3 linked regions of the Ovis aries genome follow. The protein of the gene in region 1 interacts with the protein of each later gene in a pairwise test. Links are inferred from orthologs where the notes say so. Each region holds a gene or a part of one and is shown on either strand. Other genes may lie near its edges. The genes, in order: DCP1A, RITA1 and PNRC2.

Region 1 (7,199 bases):
GGTTCCCATGTCAGAGTGATCCAGCACACAATCCTTTAGGTACTTCTCATTTGTATATGAAGTATTTCTCTGTGTACATGGGAAAGGTTTTAGAATTCTATTATACAGATTAGGAAACAAGCTTAGGATGATTCAGGCCTGCACCCAAAGTCACACAAATAATAACCAGGATTCAGCTTTTAGGTTTTCTGATTCCAAATCCATGCTTCTTCTATGCTAAGGTCTCTCCAAAGGGACATTCTGACACCTGGTATATATTTATCCATTTCATCCATAACATGTTCTCACATTTCCCAAATAGAGTCTCTCTGGTCTCCTTTTATTGGAATCAATACAAGTGGAAGCTTCCAAAAATTTTATTAAATCAAGTCAGTCACTAAACTAAATTTCATTTTCTGTAATTGGTGAATCTACACTGTTACAATAAAGCCAGGAAAGTGCTTCCCAAGTACCAAGGTTCTAATAACAGTTGAAGAGCTTCTAGAGATTTATATTGGTAATGAATATTACCAGGTAAAAGATAAAGGTCTTTTTTTTTTAAAAAGGAGAAAGATGAGTAACAGGGAACAAAATGTCAACAAGAAAGAGTAACATAAAAGCACTTAAAAGGAAGAAAAAAATCAGTGTTTTTTAGACAAGATCTCAAAGGTACACAAGACAATTTAGAAGAATATTTGACAAATTCTTGTTACAATCCATAAATAATTTACCACACACACACACACACACACACACACACACACGAAAAGAACCAGGTATCAGTAATCCTGCTGAGTTTCCTAAGCTTTAAAAAACAAGAAAAGGCATCTATCTCAATCAGAGTGAGAGTTAAGAGGGATCCAGGAAAACAAGAAACTTCAATGACTAACATACCCTTGTCAATTGCCTTTAGGCCAAGAAAGTTGCCAAACAAAACCAAACCTGCAATTCACAAACCAATCATGTTTACGACAATTAATTCTCAGAAAAGTTGAAAGTTAAAAATGTGCAGTTATGAGTAGTCCAGGCTTTCTAAAGGACTCTCAAACTAAAAATACCTATTACTAGACACTGTACACAACTCAAAACTTTTGGGTAGCTGGAATGGGGAAAGAACCAGAGTCTTAGAAGATAACCTTTTAGTTCAGTAATCACAGAATAGTTAGCTCCTGTATTATATTTTTCTCAGTTACGTATCTGTTTTCCTAATATGGGGAAAAGGAAAAAGGCATCTGTTTTAGATTCATTCATTACTACAAAATGTTTTCTATTTTGCTAGGTTCCTAAATAAGTTCTGTTTGATTCTGAATCATAGGAACTATCAAAGAAGGGACATTACTTGGTTAAGATTTCACAGCAAGAGATGGATGAATACTTGGAAGGGTCAAGCAGGAAGTTCCAAAGACAATACAATAGGGCTGAATCACTCTACATGACAATGTTCACCATCAAATTAAAAAAATAATAAGTTTTTAAAAAGCTTACCTTCGATATACAAATAAGGTCCCTTCTATATCGGTCTTCTCCTGTAACAGACAATGAGTCAATTAGTTTTTTCCCCCATAATCTAACCCCAAGTTGTCCCAGTGGAGACGTCATGTTTAAGATTAACTTATTTATTTTAAAATTAATTACTCTGAACAGGTCAAGCTTCTCTCTACAAACTACTGTTACCAGTTTCTTTTGTATCCTTTTTAGTCTATTGATGCATGTTAATTGATATGCAATGTTCTATCCAGCAACATGCCTGTATCTACAGTAACTTTTCTTTTCTTTTTTAAAATTTAAAGGAGAAAAAAATCTAGAATTAGCTTTCATTTTTTAAAACTAAAATGTTTTAGCCAAATTTCTTAATTTTAAAGCCAAAGTCTGTATACAGTCATTACTTCACCTTTAAAGTTTATCAAAGTTAGTAGGAGAAAAAAAAGAAATTTTATCTTACAGGACACTGTTTCATCATTTGGGAGATTCCGGCATATTTTCCTGAGTAGCAAATTTTGTAGTTAGTTAAGAACTACTGTCAAACACAATTAGTTTGTTACTCTTAGACCTTTGTTGAAGAATCATGAGTACTGAAATTCTACTTAGTATAATTTGTATAGGTCTTACAAATAATTTAAAACTTTTTTTTCGCTTAAAGTAAACGTTTTGATTAAAAAAGTACAACTCATCATCTTTCATTTGCTGTGACAAGAGTGTATTTAGGTTTTAAACCGTTAAAATGTTTTGTTTTTTTTTTTAAATTAGTCTACAATTCACAGGCCAGATAGGATCTAAACAGTTTAATGCAGTCAGCAAACTATTAACAAACTTAAATGTTAGTCATATAGAATTGAATTTGGTGGGATGAAAAAAAGAACTTTAAAAGATATTTACCATCTTGATTTCTAACTTAAACATTATCATGGAATTTTTCCTTATGTATTTCTTGCCTTTCAAACTTTATTAATATAATAAATTGGTAATCAATTGCTTCACAATGAAAGAAAATTTACCCAAATAAACAACTGTGTAAAGTTACAAATCACTGCCATGATACAAATGAATAACGGCAGCTTAGTTTTCAATTCAGGTTATTTCAGCTTGTATTTCATTCAGCTTGTATTTAAAGAAGAATGGCACAATTAAAATTCCAAAATATTGGAAGTCTGTGACAAACTAGAAATAAAAGCTTATAGTAATAAGCCCATGCCCCAAATATTCACCATTTGTCTGCAATCCACACTCCAAAAATGTATATGCACAGCAAGAAAAGAAAAATGGTCCAAAACAATTTAAACTAAAGCAATATCTACTAAAACAGTCACACTTAAAAGAAAAAATCTATAATTTTGTTCTGTGTGGCTTGCCATACCTCCTCCTATTCCAGGAGGTGAAGGAAAGACGATACAAAGTAAAGCAAGATGACTCTGAAAACCCTCTGCATCTGATTTAACTGTTTATAAATGCGAAATGATTTTTCACAAAATTAATGATTAAATATAACCCATGTATCTGCATTATGTTGTAAAGAATATATTATGATAATAATCTTTGTTTTGTTAGTACAAGGACTTCAATTCTTATTGAAACGTGAATGTGAATCATTTATTAATTCAATCCAACAAACATTTACAGACTATTTTTAAAATAAAGCCTATATAGCTAAATGAGTTAATCAAGAAGATTCATATTTTTAAGGGAAATGATGTTACGTTTATTTATATTTTATTTAGCCACTTGCGTGGCTTGTTAGATCTTAGTTCTCCGACTAAGGATCGAACTCTTGCCCCCTGCAGTTGAAGCGGGGAGTTCTAACCACTGGATCGCCAGGGAAGTCTCGAAATTCTGACATGTAAACAACAACCGAAGCTTCAAAGCGGCTAACAAATCAGTGAACTAACTGAATGTAACTTTTCGCAACCTCTCTCGTGCAAAAAAAGGCAAAAAGTACTTAAGTCTGATGCGCGTATTCAGAGGTGACATCACCAGCAGCATAGCTGAAAACACGAGGTCTCTTGTCCAAAGGTTTCAAGGTAACAAAATTAACATGCAAGCCCTTTTCCTAAGTGCCTTGAAATCTTTTCCAAACTCTGGAAACACAGTGTAGTTTGATAAATGCGGGACGTATCCCCACCCTCTCGCCTTTCCAAGAACTGAAACTAATTGGAATTCAAGCTTTAAATCCTAATAACCTCTGCGAAGGGGGTTCTGATTTATCTATCTGTTGGGGGGAGAGGAGTGTTTACTTTATAGATTATGTATACATAATTTATCTAACAACTCTCAAAGCTTCAGACAATCTTACAGGCGTCTTTCTGACTCCATCGGTCTCAAATCCTCCAACACACCTGCAAAGAAGGCAGGTCGCCCACATCCTCGAACTGGACCCCTGGGGACTAATCCTTCTTCAACCCTCCCCTCTATCAGCGTTCCCCCCGGATGTTTGGACCTACTTCCCTCTCTCCTCTCACCCAATCCCCAGCGGCGCCGACACCTCTCAGGCGCCGGCCAGGCTCTCCTCCAGTCCCTGGCCTCGCCTCCGCCACCGTGGCCTCCCGCATCGCCCCCTACCCAGGTCGGTCGGCGCGGCCCCTTTAAGAGACGGCGGCCGGGAGAGCGACTTCAGCCACCTGGCTGCACTCACCCACTGGTTGGCCTTGGGGCAGAAGGTGTACAGTGCGACCTGGCCCGTGAGGTCTGCGATGCTGGTGATGTAGGGGTCGTGTTGCTTCAGGGCTGCTAGGCTCATCTCTTGCCCAGCTCGACTCAGCGACTCCATCTTGAATTCTGGAGCCGAGCCCCTCTGGCGGGGCGGAGTCGAGGACAGGAAGGTGCCATGGAGGCAAAGTTCCCCCAGCTGCGTCAGCGCCCTCAATTTCCGCCTCTCCACCGGGCCTCGCGGCCGGGCGGTACTGCAGCTATTATGCTCCGCTGAACCTACGCCCGGGGCACCGGGTTCCGGTGTCGTCAGGTCCCAGTGGACTAAGGTTCGAGGTGGGGTCCGCCGCCGCGTGGCGGAGCAGAAAGGCCTGGGCGCAGGTTCTTCTTTTCCGCGGGCTGAAAGGTACCGGCGCTCTGAACAAGGCTGCTCTGGAGCTTTCTCACCGTTCCTGCCGGATTAGTTTCCCGTGGCCGCAGACTGGAAACCTAGCTGCGTCAAGGCAGGGCTCCAGGGGCGATTTAGAAAACAGAAAAGCGGGGAGAAACGGGGTGGGGGTGGGGTACCTCGGAAAGTACCCCAGATCTCAGATCTATTTGTGTTTTTATAAAGGAAGTTTTTGAAAAAGCCAGACTAGCCTGTCTGTAATTACACAGAAATGTCTTTTATTGTCAACTTATTTTCTTCCTCTGAATCCCACGAAAATCTTTATCCAGTTTTGGAAAGAACCCTTGAAAAGTTGTTTGCCGTGCATCATTTAAAGCTTTAAAACGGTAACTCATCCTTTTAGCAAACATCTGCTTAATATTTTAAGGCATTTTAAAAGAGCCAGTTACTAGCTAAAGAGTAAAACAAGGTGTGGAAGATAAAGGGAGCTCTGCCCCTTCCCCCGCCCCTCCCCCGATTTGTTATAAAAAACCTTTTCTTATACTGAAAAGATAACCGAGAGGTGTCTGTGGCGGCCCAGTGGTTGACTCCACCCTTCCAGTGCACGGGGTGCAGGTTGAATTTTTTTTGACTGAAAAATACTATTGACTCTAATAGTTGTATTGTTTATGATTTTACATCCCGAGGTCGTTATCGGAAAGATACTTAATGTTTTACATTGTTGGCAGAATCACGTTACATGTACAAATGCAGAAAAGGAAACATATTCATTTACTGTTTCTTTAGCAAGTATTTTTGTTAGTAGCTCAGCCGTATCTGACTCTTTGTAATCCCATGGACTATAGCCCACCAGGCTGGTCTGTCCATTGCATTCTCCAGGCAAGAATACTGGAGTGGATTGCCATTCCCTTCTCCATCAGTTCAGTTCAGTCGCTCAGTCGTGTACAATTCTGTGCCCATGAACAGAAGCACGCCAGGCCTTCGTGTCCATCACCAGCTTCGAGAGTTTACCCAAACTCATGTCCATTGAGTCCGTGATGCCATCCAACCATCTCATCCTCTGTCCTCCCCTTCTCCTCCTGCCCTCAGTCTTTTCTAGCATCAGGGTCTTTTCAAATGAGTCAGCTCTTTGCAACAGGTGGCCAAAGTGTTGGAGTTTCAGCTTCAACATCAGTCCTTCCAATGAACACTCAGGAATGATCTCCCCCAGGATAGACTGGTTGGATCTCCTTGCAGTCCAAGGGACTCTCAAGAGACTTCTCATTTCAAAAGTATCAATTCTTCGGCACTCAGCTTTCTCTATAGTTCAACTCTCACATTGATACATGACTACTGGAAAACTAAACAGACCTTTGTTGACAAAGTAATGTCTCTGCTTTTTAATATGCTGTCTAGTTTGGTCATAACTTTCCCTCTAAGGAGTAAGCATCTTTTAATTTCATGGCTGCAATCACCATCTACAGTGATTTTGGAGCCCAGAAACATAAAGTCAGCCACTGTTTCCCCATCTATTTGCAATGAAATGATGGGACCAGATGCTATGATCTTAGTTTTCTGAATGTTGAGCTTTAAGCCAACTTTTTCCCCTCTCCTCTTTCACTTTCATCAAGAGGCTTCTTAGTTCTTCACTTTCTGCCGTAAGGGTGGTATCATCTGCATATCTGAGGTTATTGATGTCTCCCGGCAATCTTGATTCCAGCTTGTGATTCCTCCAGCCCAGCGTTTTTCTTGATGTACTCTGCATAGAAGTTAAATAAGCAGGGTGACAATATACAGCCTTGACATACTCCTTTTTCTATTTGGAACCAGTCTGTTGTTCCATGTCCAGTTCTAACTGTTGCTTCCTGACCTGCATACTGATTTCTTAAGAGGGAAGTCAGGTTGCCCTTCTCCATAGCAAATATTTATTGACCTCCTGCTTTGAACAGGTATCCGCTTAGGATGCAAAGAACTGACTCATTGGAAAAGACCCTGATCCTGGGAAAGATTGAAGGCAGGAGGAGAAGGGGATGAGATGAGAGGATGAGATGGTTGGATGGCATCACCAACTCCATGAACATGAGTTTAAGTAATCTCTAGGGAGTTGGTGATGGTCAAGGAAGCCTGGGGTGCTTCAGTCCATGTGGTTGCAAAGAGTCAGACACAACTGAGTGACTGAACTGCACTGAGTCCCTTGGGAAGCTTCAAAGTCTAAGACAATTTTCTGGTTCTGGGAGAAACTGAAAGAAGTAGGGGCAACGCTAGAGATGTCTCACTTGACACCTAGGGGATGGAGCCAGGAACTTCATCTGTCAAAAGAGTATTGGAAGGCTTGATGGAGGAGATGATGTTTGAATTAGTGTTTCAGGAATAAGTATGAGTTCATCGGGAAGGACAGGAAAAGACTCCCATTCATATCACAGTCTAAGTGGTAGTGATATGCTCATCCTCATTTGATGGTTGCTTAATTGAAGCTGGGTGGAGACGTCACTGGCTCGTTGTTCCACACTAGTCAGGGGGATCTGGTGTTAGAATCCAGGGACTAGGCCGCGCCAGGGTCCTTTTCTCCATGCTGTGCCTGCCTTTCTTCGTATTGGAGAGAGAGCCTTACATCTCCCACTACCTTCTTGCTTTCTTTTCCTTAACTTTTTATTTTATATTGGAGTATAGTTGATAATGTTGTGTTAGGGGACTTCCCTGGTTGCTCAGTGGT
Region 2 (7,145 bases), on another chromosome or scaffold:
TTGGCCTCCCAGCCAGCGCCCTCCGGTCGGGAGCCAAAGAGAGACTCCTCGCAGTAAGAAGGAGTGTGGCTGATCAGTCTGGGAAGGGAAGAGAAACAATGAGCTGGGGAAATAAGCCTTGTAAACTTTCTTACCCCTCCGCCCCCCACCCCCAGCTAAGCCCCTACAGCAGCAGATGATTGCCTGTAGATCCCAGAAGTACCCACAGGGAAGCCACAGCCCTCAAGTACCACTATTCCCAGCTCTTACTATTTTTCCCTGGCAGAGCATCCAGTCCTCCTGCATCCTCCCCACCCCATCCTGGGCATGTGCCCAATTGGCCTAGTCCAGCTCAATTTGCATACCCCATCCTCCTGACCACACTGATTGGCTCAGGACTAACCACATGACCCATTCTGCCCAATGGGAGTCTCCCTTAGAATCTTTGCGTTAACTACTAGGAGAGAGATGTCTTTCTTCCACTGAGTGCTGAAGAACAGGCAGGAAGGATATAAGGGCAAAAGAGCTGGTGGCCATCTCACCTGGAATGTGTGTGAGAAAGAATCCCAACAACATTTTGAGCCCCTGTTATATGAGCCCCAAATGTCCTTTGTCTGCTGAGGCGCGTTTAGCTTGTTTGCAAGCCCAATCCTTATGTTATTTGCAACCAACATTAATATAACCTTAGTCTTCAGAGCGTTCACTTTTTCTTTTAACTCACCACTTCACCCTTTTCCTAGTGGCCCTGTCAGCCGAACCGTCTGCAGTCATGTGGCCCTTCTAACTGTTTCTGAAACTGCACAGCCAAGAACCCGGCATGTAGAGGGTGCTGTGACCTGGCCATACCACCAGAGTAGCTTTTAAAATTTTTGAATATTTACTCAGGGTTTTTCATGTATAGGCCCAGGACTCAGCTTGTCACCTGTGTTATCTCATTATTTCTCACAAAACCCACAGGACGGCAATATGATAATCCCATTTTATAGACAAGAAAACAGAGGCACAGGGAGGATAACAAGGAAGGTATAGATAAGATTCAAATCCAGGCCCCCACTCAAGGGCTCAAGTTCCTGATCACTAAGCCAGACTTAAATGCCTTCAAGGCCTCTCACTTTTAACTAGATTCATTCAGCATTTTTTTTTAAATTAATCTCACAAATGTTCATGGCATATCTATGAGGTGTGAGGTCCATGACTTTCAGCCAGAACTAAAAGTGCTCCCCATTCCCAAACTTCAAGTCTTTGAAAAGTCAACATTTTGGCCACTTGATTTGGCTGTTCAAACCCAGATCTGGTTGATACCTACGTCTGTCTGGTTCCAAAGTTTCTGCTTAATAGCATCTCTACCTCTTATGTACCTTCTAACTTGACAGCCTCTACCTGTCAGCATCCAGCACAAAGTTCCAACCTCCAGGAGAGCATGAGGTTGACTGTTGCCTTCCTGTCATGGACTTCTGTTAATGCAGCCTACAGTGAACTCAGCACTTTCAGCCACGTTGTAGATGTCAGTGCTGCTATGTCAACCTGAGCCTGCCCTGTGCTCCATGGGAACTGTCAAGTAGACATGACAATAATGGGGCCTTGCTTTTATCTCTGTTCAATTTTATCTCCTTAAATAGGCACTATTCCCACTCTCAATTAGTGATGTGCCTTTTGGCTCAGAATAGATCCCAAATAGGACTGGCTAGTTATTAAGGACTGAATTGCTTCCTCCCAAGATTTGTGTTGAATTAAATTAAGGTTAAATGAGGCCATGGGCTTCCCTGGTGACTCAGTGGTAAAGAATCTGCCTGCAATGCAGGAGACTTGGGTTTGATCCCTGGGTCAGGAAGATCCCCTGGAGGAGGGAATAGCAACCCACTCCAGTCCTCTTGCCTGGAGAATTCCATGGACAGAGGAGCCGGGCAGGCTACAGTCCATGGGGTCGCAAAGAGCTGGACACGACTGAATGACTAACACACACACAAGCGAGGCCACAAAGGTGAGGCTCTAATCCAATAGGATTTGTGTCCTTATAAGAAGAGGAAGAGGCACCAAGAGTGTACACACTCAGAGAAAAGTCCATGTGAGGACCCAGGGAATAGCTGGCCATCTGCAACCCAAGGACAGGCTTCAGGAGAAACCAACCCTGCTGGCATCTTGACCTTGGACTTTAAGCCTCCATAACTGTGGAAAATCAAACTTATGCTGTTTAAGTCTATAGTATTTTGTTATATATAACAAACCTGATTGACTAATATATTAGTCTTCCATATCTCTGTTCAAGACACTGATGACAATCAATAAGATAGAGTCCTGTGGCCTCCCTCGAGGCTGAAATTCATTGAAATAGTCTAAATAATCCCTACAAAAATAACCACTGGCATTAGATTCCATTTTTCTAACTTGTTGGTGAAAATGAAGCAAGAACCATTTTCAAAATGACTTGCTTCAGTTTGGAATCACCATATCTATGTCATTTGATGGATCAACCACACTAATAATCTTATGCAAACTGTTCTGTGACTTTGGATAAATCAAGGGCTTCCCTGGTGGCTCAGAAGGTAAAGAATCCTCCTGCAGTACAGCAGAGCCAGGTTCAATACCTGGTTTGGAAAGATCCCCTGGAGAAGGAAATGGCAACCCATTCCACTATTCCTGCCTGGAAAACTCCACAGACAGAGAAGCCTGGCAGGCTACAGTATATGGGGTAGCAAAGAGTTGGACACAACTGAGCGACCAACACTCTCTCTCTCTGTTGGACAAATCACCTCACCCCTCTGGGCCTCAGAAGTCCAGTCTAATGCCATTACCATTTATTTATTCCTGAGTGTCGGGTAACTGTGCCAACCACTGTACATGTCTCATCCCCTTAAGTCTTCTCAATAATCCCACTGGGTCCCACCTTCCACTGTGAGGAAACGGGCTCAGAGAGGTCAAATTGCTCGCCCAAGGTCACACAGCAGATGAATGGCAGGGAATCTTCCTATCCTATTACCTGTATTTGTTCTTCTTCCTTGGTGTGAGGGTTGGGGTGCTGCCACTGGAGGAGGTGGACTCACAGCTCCCATTGGCCCCCAAGGCCTGAGACACCCCTGTCCCCACTCCTCTGGGTCTGTTGGCCTTCTTCATCCACGGTGGGTCAAAGTCTGGTGGTGCGGGCCGGGTGCCTGCAGGGCTGCCAAACAAAGTCTCATCCACGTATGATGGCCTAACCTTGACCCGGTAGCCACTCCGGCCACGGTGCTGAACGTGGAGGGTCTGCATCCCGCTGATGGCCATCTCCACCGGGGTCTTCATGCTCTCTGTTGTCCTGAGTGACAGCAGGGGTGCTCTGCTTGCCAGGCCCTACATCCAGGGCTCCCTGTGAAAAGGGGTCAGGGTAGCAACCATCTGTCATCAGAAAAGACTGGCAATCACTTTAAGGGCCCATCCCCAGGGCAAAAAGGTCACATTCTCCCTCAACCAGTCTTCCTCAAAGGGGAGCTGCCAATCCCAGGGAACATTTCAGAAATTTGACATTTTTTGAGTTGTTGTAATGAAGGGGTGGGCGTCCCTGGTGGCTCAGATGGTAAAGAATCCACCTGCAATGTGGGAGACCTGGGTTTGATCCCTGAGTTGGGAAGATCCCCTGGAGGAGGACATGGCAACCCACTCCAGTATTTTTGCCTGGAGAATCCCCATGGACAGAGGAACCTGGCGGGCTACAGTCCATGGATTCGCAGAGTTAGGCACGACTGAGTGAGTGAGCACACAGAAATCACGGGGACAGGGGTGCTACAGATGAATATTTAATGAGTAAATGCGCATTCCTAGCATACTGGTGTGTGTTCAGTCAATATTTATAGAACACTAGGGGAATGAACAAGAGATTTGGGCCTCTGCCTATTCTGGCACCACACAGAAAATCAACTATGCTGATGAGGAATGGGGGAAACAGGGCAGGTTTCTATATCTTGTACATATTTATCGGGCAGAAATAATAACCAGCATTGATCGATCCCAAGCCTACCTCCTGCAAAGAGCTTTACAAGCATTGTCTCATTTCATCCTCTCAACACTCCTGTGAGGTAGCTTCCATTATGTTCATTCTATAGATGACAAAACTAAGGCTTCAAAAGGTGAAGTTGCAAGTGTCAGTCACACCTATAAAGCTAAAACAGTGGAAATTGAATTTGAACCTGATTAAGGGTCTAAAGCTCCTGCACTTAACCATTCCCCTACTAGGGGATCACACCCAGTCCTCCAGCTGCCCCTCATTCACTGATCCCCAAGTCCACGTCCCGGAGATGTCCGATGTGCCCGCATTATCGAGTTATTTTCCTACCTGAGCATCTTGGTTCGCTGACGTCGGTCGTTACCGTCAGCGTCCCCTGCTCCCAGGCCTGGACTCCTTTGTGGGGCGCTCGGGCATCGGAGGCGCGCGCCGGACATCCGAATCGGCAGCTCTGAATCCCGGGAGCCCGCGACTCCGGGAAGTTCCAAGGCCGCCCCCAGCTCCAACCCCAGACCGGGGTACGGGGCGGAACGACTCAGAGCTGGCAGCCGGGCCCTAGCGACGTGTGTTCCGCGCGCGCGGACGCGCGTCAAACAGCAACCCGTGAGTGACAGGATGGGGCGGGGCGGCCGGAACCATTTACTCCTCGGGGGTGAGTTAAGGCCCCCGATTCCGGACGCCCCCCGGAGTTCCCCAAAGCTTCGGAAGGGGTACCTTCCGCGCCAGCGAGGGGAGTGTGTGTGTGTGCATGTGGATCAAGCCCCTGGAGGCAGCAGAAGGAGCAGGAACGCAGCCGGGGCCGCGTGGAGGCGTCCCCCGTGCCCCCGCCGCGCTGTTGGTATGTCCCTATGGGCTCCGCCCCCTCCCATTTCCCGGCGCCGGGGCCCGCATGGCTGCCGGCACGCGCCCGGCGGCCGCCCCGCGGTCCGGAGCTACCATGGCCCAGTGGAAGAAGAAGAAGGGGCTCCGGAAGCGCCGGGGTGCGGCGTCCCAGTCCCGCAGCAGCGACTCGGAGGACGGCGAGTTTGAGATCCAGGCAGAAGATGACGCCCGGGCCCAGAAGGTAGGGAGCGCAGGGCTGGGATACACGTCGGAACCCGAGCTCCGCGCGGTGCCCGGCAGTTCCCCCAGCTGGGGAGCGGGCACGGCTGAGGATGGGGAGAGATCGGCTGGCCGGGGGATCAAGGCAGGACCTCCGGCCTGAGCACGTGTCCCAGGACCCTCCACACCTGGGGTCTAGACTCCCGAAGCCTCTGTGTTGGGTAAGCTCGGGGCCTGCGGGCCTTCCTGGCTGACGCTTGGTCTAGCGCTTCTCATTGGCTTCTTCCTGGCCATCGAGGGCGGGTCCTGGTTTCCATTCGCCCAATGAAAAGTGCGGGTGCTGAACATTGGACTTTTGAGAGTTTGGGGGTTCTTCGGCAGACAAATTAGGAGAAGGCTGCACCTCGTGGCTTTGAGACAGCGACGCCCCCAAACCTCTGGGAAACTAATAATAAGTTAAACTCGCGTCTATTGATCACTTACTGTGTGCAGGCTCCGTGCTAAAAGCCTTTATAAGCCTTATCATTTAATCACCACATCAACCCTGCGAGCTGAGTGCTTATCCTCATTTTCCAGAGAAGGAAACAGAAGCCTGGAGGGGTGAAGGAACTTTACCAAAACCTCATAGCTTGTGAGTGGGAGAGCCAGGATTCAAATCCAGGACTGTATGGTTCCAGACCCTGTGCTATTTCCACTACTGAGTGCTGAGTGTATGCAAATGGGGGGGGGGCGGGGGGAGGGGGAACAGGTGTGAGCCCCAGTGGAGCAAAAGAGCTATAGCCTGTTGTTTCTCACAACCTTGTGCTTAGCGGGTGTCTGGCACAGAGAAGACTCTGGGTATAATAGATGAATGAGTGGGGGTTTATATGAAGAGAGCCCTCTCTGCTCCTCAGAAGTAGGGACCAGATGGGGACCTTATTCCATCTCAACCGAGCCTCACACAGAAGGTTCTCTATAACTAGGGACCAAGGCACAGCCATGTGTTCAACACCTTGTACTGGCTGTGGGGGAGTACACATGGGAGAAATTGCTTAATCTCTCTGTGTGTGCCTCAGCTTCTGCACATGCAGAAAGTAGTTGAGTCTGTATGCCTCAAACACTGTGGAAAGGAGGAATGACAGTGTTCAGACATTCTGCTCGTCAGTAAATGTTGCTGGGGCACCAGTGTGTTAAAAGGCACTTTGTTATCATGTGTCTGGAGCAGGGGTAGGTTGGCAAACTTTCCCTGTAAAGGACCAAATGGTAACTAGTTTAGGCTTTGCAGGGTCATATAAGGTCATACAACTGTCTTCTTTGATTTTGCTACAATCTTTTAAGATTTAAAAACCATTCTCATCTCGGGGACTGTACAAGACAGGTGCAGCTCTGACCTAGAGGGTTGTGTTGGACCGCAGAGGGGCACATAGGAAGGAATATAGACTCTGAGGCCAGGGTTCATATCCCTTACTGGCTGTGTGACTTTGCCAGGTCACTTCACCTCTCTGTGTGTCAGTTTCCTTCTCTGTAAAAGAGGCTAAATAATAATAGCTGCTTGACAGTGTTGTTGTGAGGAGTGAATTAATTTACATGAACGCTCAGCACAGCACCTGGCTTATAGTAAGTGCCATATAAGTTTTAGCCATTATTATGAGTTAGTATTTTTATAAATGTTATTTCTGAGAGGAAGAAGACAGTGCTGTAGTCCAAGAAGGCTCCCCAGAGGAGGTGTCCGGGTATGCTTTAATTGTGCTAGAACAAGTGGGTGGCAGAGAGAGGAAGCCAGGAATGAGAGAGACCAGATCTGGGGAGGGGTGATGGATCAGAAAGGGGCTGAGGGAGACGGGTGCAAGACAGACTGGAAAAGTCTGGTACCTCATTCATAATAGATGTTTCGATTGGCTTCCCAAAGTTTTGAGGGCTCTGAATAACTGGTCTGGATGATAATGATGGTGGTGCCACCATCTGGGCACTGTCCTAAGATTTACACATACCCATTTGGTCTTCCCAGCACCCTGTAAGGCATATGCTCTTTTCATCCCCGTTTTCGTGATTGGGGAACACAGGCTGTGGGCGAGGAAGTCCCAGGCCTGAGGTCTCACAGCTGCAAGTGACAGAGATGAGACTGAAACACAGGCAGTCTGTCTGCAGAGCCTACTCTCAGACCCGCTGC
Region 3 (7,472 bases), on another chromosome or scaffold:
CCTAAAGGAAATCAGCCCTGAGTATTCATTTGAAGGACTGATGCTGGAGCTGAAACTCCAATACTTTGGCCACCTGATGTGAAGAACTGACTCATTGGAAAAGACCCTGATGCTGGGAAAGATTGAAGGCAAAAAGAGAAGAGGACAACAGAGGATAAGATGGTTAGATAGCATCATGGACTGAATGGACTTGAATTTGAGAAAACTCCAGGAGATAGTAAAGGACAGGGAAACCTGTCCATGGGGAGGTTGGGGTCCTGCATGGGCTGCAGTCCATGGGGTCACAAAGAGTTGGACACAACTGAGCGATTGAATAACAACAATATTGGATGTCCTGAAGAGAATGTGTTTTCAACTCCTGCTTCCAGTTCTGGGCTGTTGTGAGTACTTGGTAAATTATTAATGAAGGATGAGGCTGGAGCTGTACTGTGAGACTCCTGGGAGCCTGGGACATGGAGTAGGCTTTAACAGTGCTCTTTGGAGGGCCCTGGGGAGGACACAGAGGTGAGTCAGACACAGATGCTGCAGGGAACATGGAGTGGGCTTTGGAGCCGTAGTTTGTGTCTTTCAGCTTTAAACTGTTCTAAGCCTCAGATTCTTTATCTGTACAGTGGAGATCAAAGAAGGGGATCTTCTCAACCCAGGGATTGAACTCAGGTCTCCCGCATTGCAGGTGGATTCTTTACCAGCTGAGCTATCAGGGAAGCCCAAAATATCACCTACTCTATATTAATGTTTTGTCAACAAAACAGCTTAGCACAGGGCAGAGGGAGGCAGAATAGTATCCAATACATCATGTGTGTGTACACAAGCATCAAACACATTCAGTAGAGTTCAGTTGCTCAGTCACGTCTGACTCTGTGACCCCATTGACTGCAGCATGCTAGGCTTCCCTCTCCATCACCAACTCCCGGAGCTTGCTCAGACTCATGTCCATCAAGTCAGTGATGCTATCCAACCATCTCAGCCTCTGTCATCCCTCTCTTCCTGCCTTCAATCTTTCCCAGCATCAGAGTCTTTTCCATTGAGTCAGTTCTTCGAATCAGGTGGCCAAAGTATTGGCGTTTTAGCTTCAGCATCAGTCCTTCCAGTGAATATTCAGGACTGATTTCCTTTAGGATTGACTGGTTTGATCTCCTTGCTGTCCAAGGGACTCTCAAGAGTCTTCTCCAACACCATAGTTCAAAAGCATCAGTTCTTCGGCAATTCAGCTTTCTTTATAGTCGAACTCTCACATCCATACATGACTACTGGAAAAACCATAGCTTTGACTAGATGGACCTTTGTTGGCAAGGTAATGTCTCTGCTTTTTAATATGCTGTCTAAGTTGGTCATAGCTTTTCTTCTAAGCAGCAAGCTTCTTTTAAATTTCAGGGCTGCAGTCACCATCTGCATGATTTTGGAACCCCCCCAAATAAAGTCTCTCGAATACATTACAGGTGTGTTTATACAGATAAGGTCTGGAGGCTGATTTAATTTTATATTACAACTTGGGGCCAATACAGGTTTGTTTTTTTTTTTTAAGTAACACAATCAGATCCATGAGGGCAGAATGGAGGGAGAAGTAGGATTGTAGCAGGGATGAATTTAAAAGATATTTGGATGGTGATAATACAAAAAGAATTAGAAAAAGAAAGTGCTCAGACTAAAACAAGACTGTTCATTTTACAAAAAGTGTAAGTCACTCAGTCCTCTTTGGGACCCCATGGACTGTATAGTCCATGGACTTCTCCAGGCCAGAATCCTGGAGTGGGTAGCCTATTCCTTCTCCAGCAGTCCTTCCCAACCCAGGGATTGAATCCAGGTCTTCCGCATTGCAGGCAGATTCTTTACAAACTGAACCCCCAGGGAAGCCCAAACCACTATATTAAAAAAAATATTGCAATGGTCTTTTTAAAATACTGCTTAGCTGTAATCTAGCCGCATGTCTAAGTCAGTTTCTTAAGTTTTTAGGTAACAGATTACACTTTCAGTGAGGTAGCAGTTCCTTATTATATACATCTTATTTGACTATAATGCTTAGCAGCTGAAAGTCCCACGCTCAGAAATATCTCTTCTACTCTACACATTTCACCAAATTAATTTGATTAACAAACTCTTTTAAAATGGTTTTCTTAAGAAACTTAAGGTCCATGGGTAGAACAACATAGGAGTGGGGGATGATGGTAGCAGAAAAACTCAAGATTAAAAAACGAATTATGTGGGACTTACACAAAGTACACGTAAATCTTGTAACAAAAATGTTAATATGTTTGTAGAAACTGGTGTTCTCCTTTACAACGCCAGCTTTGGGTTGCTTATCCATTTACTCCAAAGAAGCTGCCCTTCTTCTCTTCCTGGCGCCTTGGTGGCACAATCAACCCCCTTTCACTTACAGACGGAGCCGAAAGGGGGAAATGAGAGAGCTCCATTTTCTCAAACTTTTCTCGGGCACTTAGCATGTGCACTTAGCCTGTGCTCTGGGCTCAAACGAGTGACTGGGTGGACAAGTAGCTACACTACAGTGTGACTCAAGTTCAGGACAAAAGAGGAACTGATTAACTCGATCCGCACAAGTGTCGGAAACGTCTTCACAGAGGAGACCACTTCTCAAGAATTTCGAGGCTGCGGGCAGGGAGGACAGGAGGGAACCACAAGCTGGGGGAGGGGCAAAGCAATTTCCTTGACAGGGGAACACAGTGTCAGGACCAAGTGGCCAAGGGTCGGCCTCGGGAAGCAACTTGGTGGAGCATCTTGCATCGTAAGAGACTGGTTACACGGCTAGGTGAACTTAACTCGGGAACTCAAAGCCCCCTTCGGTGACGCCCCACGGCAGGGAACCATCGGGTTCCAAGGGCCGCGGGACCCGCGAACCGGGCAGCCCCGGTGTAAGCCGCGATCCGGGGGAGCCGCTCACGTCCCTTCCCCGGCGCCGGACGCGCGCGCGGCTCGGAGTCGCCGTGAGGGGTTGGCGCTGACTGCGTCCTTGGGTACCGAGCCTGGCCGGGCGGGCGCCTCCCGGGAGAGGACAGTGTCACCCGGGCGCCCGCAGAGGGCCGGCCACCGGGACCGCGGCGGTTATTCCCGACATGCTCCTCTCGGGGAGGATTTCAAACCTTCGGCCACAGCCAACTCCCCTCCCTCGGCCCCGTCGGGCCCCAGCAACAGGCGGTGGCCCGCGTATCATTGGCCGGGTCGCGCGAAAGCGTGTTTTGATTGGCCGCAGCGCCTCCCGGCCCCGCTTCAGCGCTCGCCGCCGCCTCCATTTTGTCGGTAGAGACAGGAGGAGGAGGTCGGTTGAGACGTTGAGGTGGCCAGCCGCTCGCTCGTCGGTGCTCGTGGGCTTCGCCCGTTCCGTGCCTCGTCTCTCCCTGGAAGGGGAGGGGGGCTTCGAAGCCGAGCAGAAGCCGCCGCCGCCGCAGTCCCGGGCTTGAAGTCGGTGAGTGGCGGCGGCGCGACGGGTGCGGCCATGTTGGCGGCGGCGCTCCCTATTGTTGGGGGAAGGAGGCGAGATCCGAGGCTGGGGGGGCGCGGGCGGCCCGGAGGAGCGGGTTCCCGGGCCGGGCTCGAGGGACGCGGAGCGCCTGGGAAGCCCAACCTCGTTGCGGAAGACCCGAACTTTCCGGGCTCGCTTTGGGAATGACTCAGGGTCTGGAAACTTAAATTTCTTTAGGGCGTTGAAACAGTCTGGAAGGGCCTCTCACCCTTTCGATAAGAGCTTCTTGCTTGGTAACTTGGCTTCTTGGACTATCAAGTGGAATCGCAGATGTTTAATGTTTATAATAGTGATTGTTTTATGTATTTAAGATGGGAAACTGCTTGTTATGGCTTGTGAAACTTATTTTAAAACGGGGAGGAGTCAAGAGTTCATAACCAAAGGAAGCGCTGCGTGACGTAAACATGTTGGGAGAGGAGGCTCTGCTAAAACAGATACGTGATGTGTCTAAAGATTGTAAAATTCTGGTGGGACTTTAAAACACGGTCTTTAGGAAACAAATTTCTTAGCACATTTCTTAGCATGACTGTAGAGGCTAACGTTTCCATGGTTTTACAACATTTTGGTCACTAAATCCATGTGAGACATTATTTTCTGCCTTTTTGTTAAGTAGCCATTCTTTAAATTTTTTCTGGAGTAAATATAAACGATCACTTTCTCTGTTTTTTTAATTGAAATAATGAAGAAATCGTTGCTTTTGTAGCTAAGACTTCTCTCAAACTTGTGTGCTGAGGAGACTCAGATGTTGGCCTCAGCTCCTAGGCTGAACTCAGCAGATCGGCCCATGAAAACTTCTGTATTGAGACAAAGGAAAGGATCTGTCAGAAAGCAACATCTATTATCCTGGGCGTGGCAGCAAGGAAGAGGACAGGTAGTGGAAATCCTGCAATCGGAAAAGCAGACTGAAAGGTATTAAAAACTTACGGTTGTAATGGGGCAGACATTTTATGATGGACTCATTCTAAACCAGGATCTTCCCTGGTGGCTCAGACGGTAAAGCGTCTGCCTACAATGCTGGAGACCTGGGTTCAATCCCTAGGTCGGGAAGGTCTCCTGGAGAAGGAAATGGCAACCCATTCCAGTATTCTAGCCTGGAAAATCCCATGGACGGAGCAACCTGGTTAGGCTACAGTCCATGGGGTCACAAAGAGTCAGACACGACTGAGCGACTTCACTCACTCATTCTAAACTAGAGCTTCCCAGGGGACTCCATGATAAAGAATCCACCCGCCAATGCAGGAGGCCCGGGTTAGATCCCTGGGTCAGGAAGATCGCCTGGTGGAGGGAATGGAAACCCACTCCAGTGTTCTTTGCTGGAGAATTCCATGGACCGACAAGCCTGGCAGGCTTTTCCCATGGGATTGGAAAAGGTCGGATATGACTGAGCATGCACACGGGCACATCCTAAACAAATTGTTTTTAAATGCAGTATTATTTAGATTTGTTGGTAGACTCATTTTTTTCTTAGGAAGGTAATAAAGGCTGTACAAGTGTGAACGTATAGTAAAGCTAAAGCAGCTGAATAGCACATACGTGAGTCTTCTTCGAGATATTTGGAGTTGCAAATTGGGGCCACTGAAGTTTTGTACTGGAATTTCACTCAGTATTTTGTTTCCACTCACAGGTGACAAAGAAGCTGAAGATGGGTGGTGGAGAGAGGTATAACATTCCAGCCCCTCAAACTAGAAATGTTAGTAAGAACCAACAACAGCTTAGTAGACAGAAGACCAAGGATCAGAATTCCCAGATGAAGATTGTTCACAAGAAAAAGGAAAGAGGACATACTTATAATTCGTCATCAGCTGCATGGCAGGCCATGCAAAATGGGGGGAAGAACAAAAATTTTCCAAACAATCAAAACTGGAACTCTAGCTTATCAAGTCCCACCTTACTTTTTAAGTCTCAAACTAATCAGAACTATGCCGGGGCCAAGTTTAGTGAGCCACCATCACCAAGTGTTCTTCCTAAACCACCAAGCCACTGGGTTCCTGTCTCCTTTAATCCTTCTGATAAAGAAATAATGACATTTCAACTTAAAACCTTACTTAAAGTACAGGTATAAAATGAGATAAAGTACTAACATTTAAGCTTAGTCATATTTAAGGATAACTGGCAATTGTTTCAGACCAAATTCACTAGGGAATTAATCTGTAAAACTGATTAACATAGAAAATATAATTAGACTTCATCTTGTTTTATGTGCACTGTGATGGTAGGAATCAGTACAGTTTAAAATAACTGAATTATGGATAATTGTATTTGATCTCTTCACTAGTATTCTCAATTGAGTAACCATATAAGTGAAACCATTCAAGTTTAGATTTGGGGAATGGTAAAGGAATCAACTTTTTATATTGCTTGTTGGGGGAAAATACTGGAGATTATCATTTCATGGGTCAGCAGATTGACTTATTAAGATATGGTAAATCTGATTATAATCATCCAGTTAAAGACATACAGGGGTTGAAAACTATTTGAATCTTTGAGACGTTATTGTCCTAGAGACACCTGAATCAGTACACCTAAACCAGTAGTATGACAACCTGATGCACTGCCTAAAGAAAATGTGAAAAAAAATTTTTTTAAGAGAATAGTATTTTAATGAACTGTATGGTGGTGAATGTGTAAAGGGCACTAGGGGCTATTTAGAATGAAACAAGTATACCCCATTGGCCCTGTTATGTGCAGTGGATAGTGTCTGCCAACAAATGCACCAAAACCATTTTTTTAGAAACAGTATTTGGTGTTCAGAGTAGCTTTCAAAATACATTTTTGTATGATGGCACTGCACAAGCTATTCTGACAGTGTTATGGCTTTAAATCATCCCTGCAAAGGTTTTTTAAAGTTGAGAGCTGTATAATGTGAAAGTTCTGCATACCTAGGAAAGAGCCATGTAAATATATGTAGTAAAATTGTAGCATATGTAAAGTTTTGTTGGCATTTATCCTACAAAAATAGAATATTTTAGTACGAATTTGCTGAATGTAAGACATGGACTCTTATACTATGGCCTAATTTTAAAGGTCAAAAAACACCCCACAAACAAACCTGTTTTTAAATTTTGCCCTTGTGCTTAAGTGCCAGTGTATGTATATTATAATTGATCTTGCTGTAAACTATATTTCAACGTAAATCCTAGTGTAAGAAGTTTTATATAACCGAAAAGGTTTTAAGCTGCTAAAACACTTGCTATTTTTGAGATGTGAAATGCAGTATGGGGTAATTTTTTTTCCTTAAACCCAAAGATTAACTATTAAGCAGTCCCTCCAACCTTAAAGATTCCTTTTGGCTTTCAACAACTTGTGTAACCTATGAGTATAGTGTACAATGTCAGTGTATTTTTTTTTCCTTGTCAACAGGTGCAACCCAGGGGACCAACTTATTGCAAAAGATGTAATTTCTTGCATAATACCTTGATAACATGTTTTGCTTACTTTAAACATGCTAATTAAAACAGCCAACCCAGTAGTAAAAGTAAAGTGTGTGTATTAGGGGGGGGGTTATTCTAATTTGGCAGCTTTTTTAATACTTTTAAGCAGAATCGCTAAATTGTTTCTCCGAATAAATTGAGGTGAGATAGTACTGTCCAAGTCAAATGATGATATCCTAAAAACAAGTTTTATATAGTACTTAATGTACATACATGAATTCGAAGCATGAAATTAAAAAATAAAGTTGTTTCTTCCCCACTGGCTTGTGTTTATTGTATAGAAGTTGTTATGACTACCTATTTGCATAATTAACCCCACTGAAATACAACAGAACTATTGGTTTTTAAGAAGCAACCCATTTGCTGACAAAGACTTTTGGATTAACAACTATACATTAAAAAGGCAAATGACTTCCTCTTTACAGCAGGGCTAACAGTAAAAGGCCACAGAATATTTAAGGAACTTAAATAAAGCTTTTGAATTTATTTCATACTCAGTAAAGCAGGTTGAAGTGCCTAAGATGGCTTGGGTTTGTAGAAAAAAAAAAATTAGAATTATTCAAATT

Evidence for each region.
Region 2: the proteins of DCP1A (region 1) and RITA1 interact in binary tests that used the Homo sapiens proteins (3 or more experiments, as listed by UniProt). The two-hybrid records come from large-scale screens. The link is inferred for Ovis aries from reciprocal best matches to the Homo sapiens genes DCP1A and RITA1.
Region 3: the proteins of DCP1A (region 1) and PNRC2 interact in binary tests that used the Homo sapiens proteins (3 or more experiments, as listed by UniProt). The link is inferred for Ovis aries from reciprocal best matches to the Homo sapiens genes DCP1A and PNRC2.

The regions. Positions count from the first base shown.
Region 1 is NC_056072.1:47,747,555-47,754,753, reverse strand, and holds the start of DCP1A (mRNA-decapping enzyme 1A), read right to left. Parts: upstream 4,251-7,199; 5' UTR 4,241-4,250; coding exon 4,106-4,240; intron 1,506-4,105; coding exon 1,465-1,505; intron 1-1,464. UniProt on the Homo sapiens protein: Necessary for the degradation of mRNAs, both in normal mRNA turnover and in nonsense-mediated mRNA decay. Removes the 7-methyl guanine cap structure from mRNA molecules, yielding a 5'-phosphorylated mRNA fragment and 7m-GDP.
Region 2 is NC_056070.1:61,267,700-61,274,844, reverse strand, and holds the start of RITA1 (RBPJ-interacting and tubulin-associated protein 1), read right to left. Parts: upstream 4,547-7,145; 5' UTR 4,286-4,546; intron 4,113-4,285; exon of another isoform or gene 3,971-4,112; intron 3,323-3,970; 5' UTR 3,259-3,322; coding exon 2,957-3,258; intron 79-2,956; coding exon 1-78. Other genes in the region: ATP-dependent RNA helicase DDX54, read left to right, coding at 4,845-5,018. UniProt on the Homo sapiens protein: Tubulin-binding protein that acts as a negative regulator of Notch signaling pathway.
Region 3 is NC_056055.1:242,691,749-242,699,220, reverse strand, and holds PNRC2 (proline-rich nuclear receptor coactivator 2), read left to right. Parts: upstream 1-3,248; 5' UTR 3,249-3,418; intron 3,419-4,178; 5' UTR 4,179-4,384; intron 4,385-5,099; 5' UTR 5,100-5,117; coding exon 5,118-5,537; 3' UTR 5,538-7,165; downstream 7,166-7,472. UniProt on the Homo sapiens protein: Involved in nonsense-mediated mRNA decay (NMD) by acting as a bridge between the mRNA decapping complex and the NMD machinery. May act by targeting the NMD machinery to the P-body and recruiting the decapping machinery to aberrant mRNAs.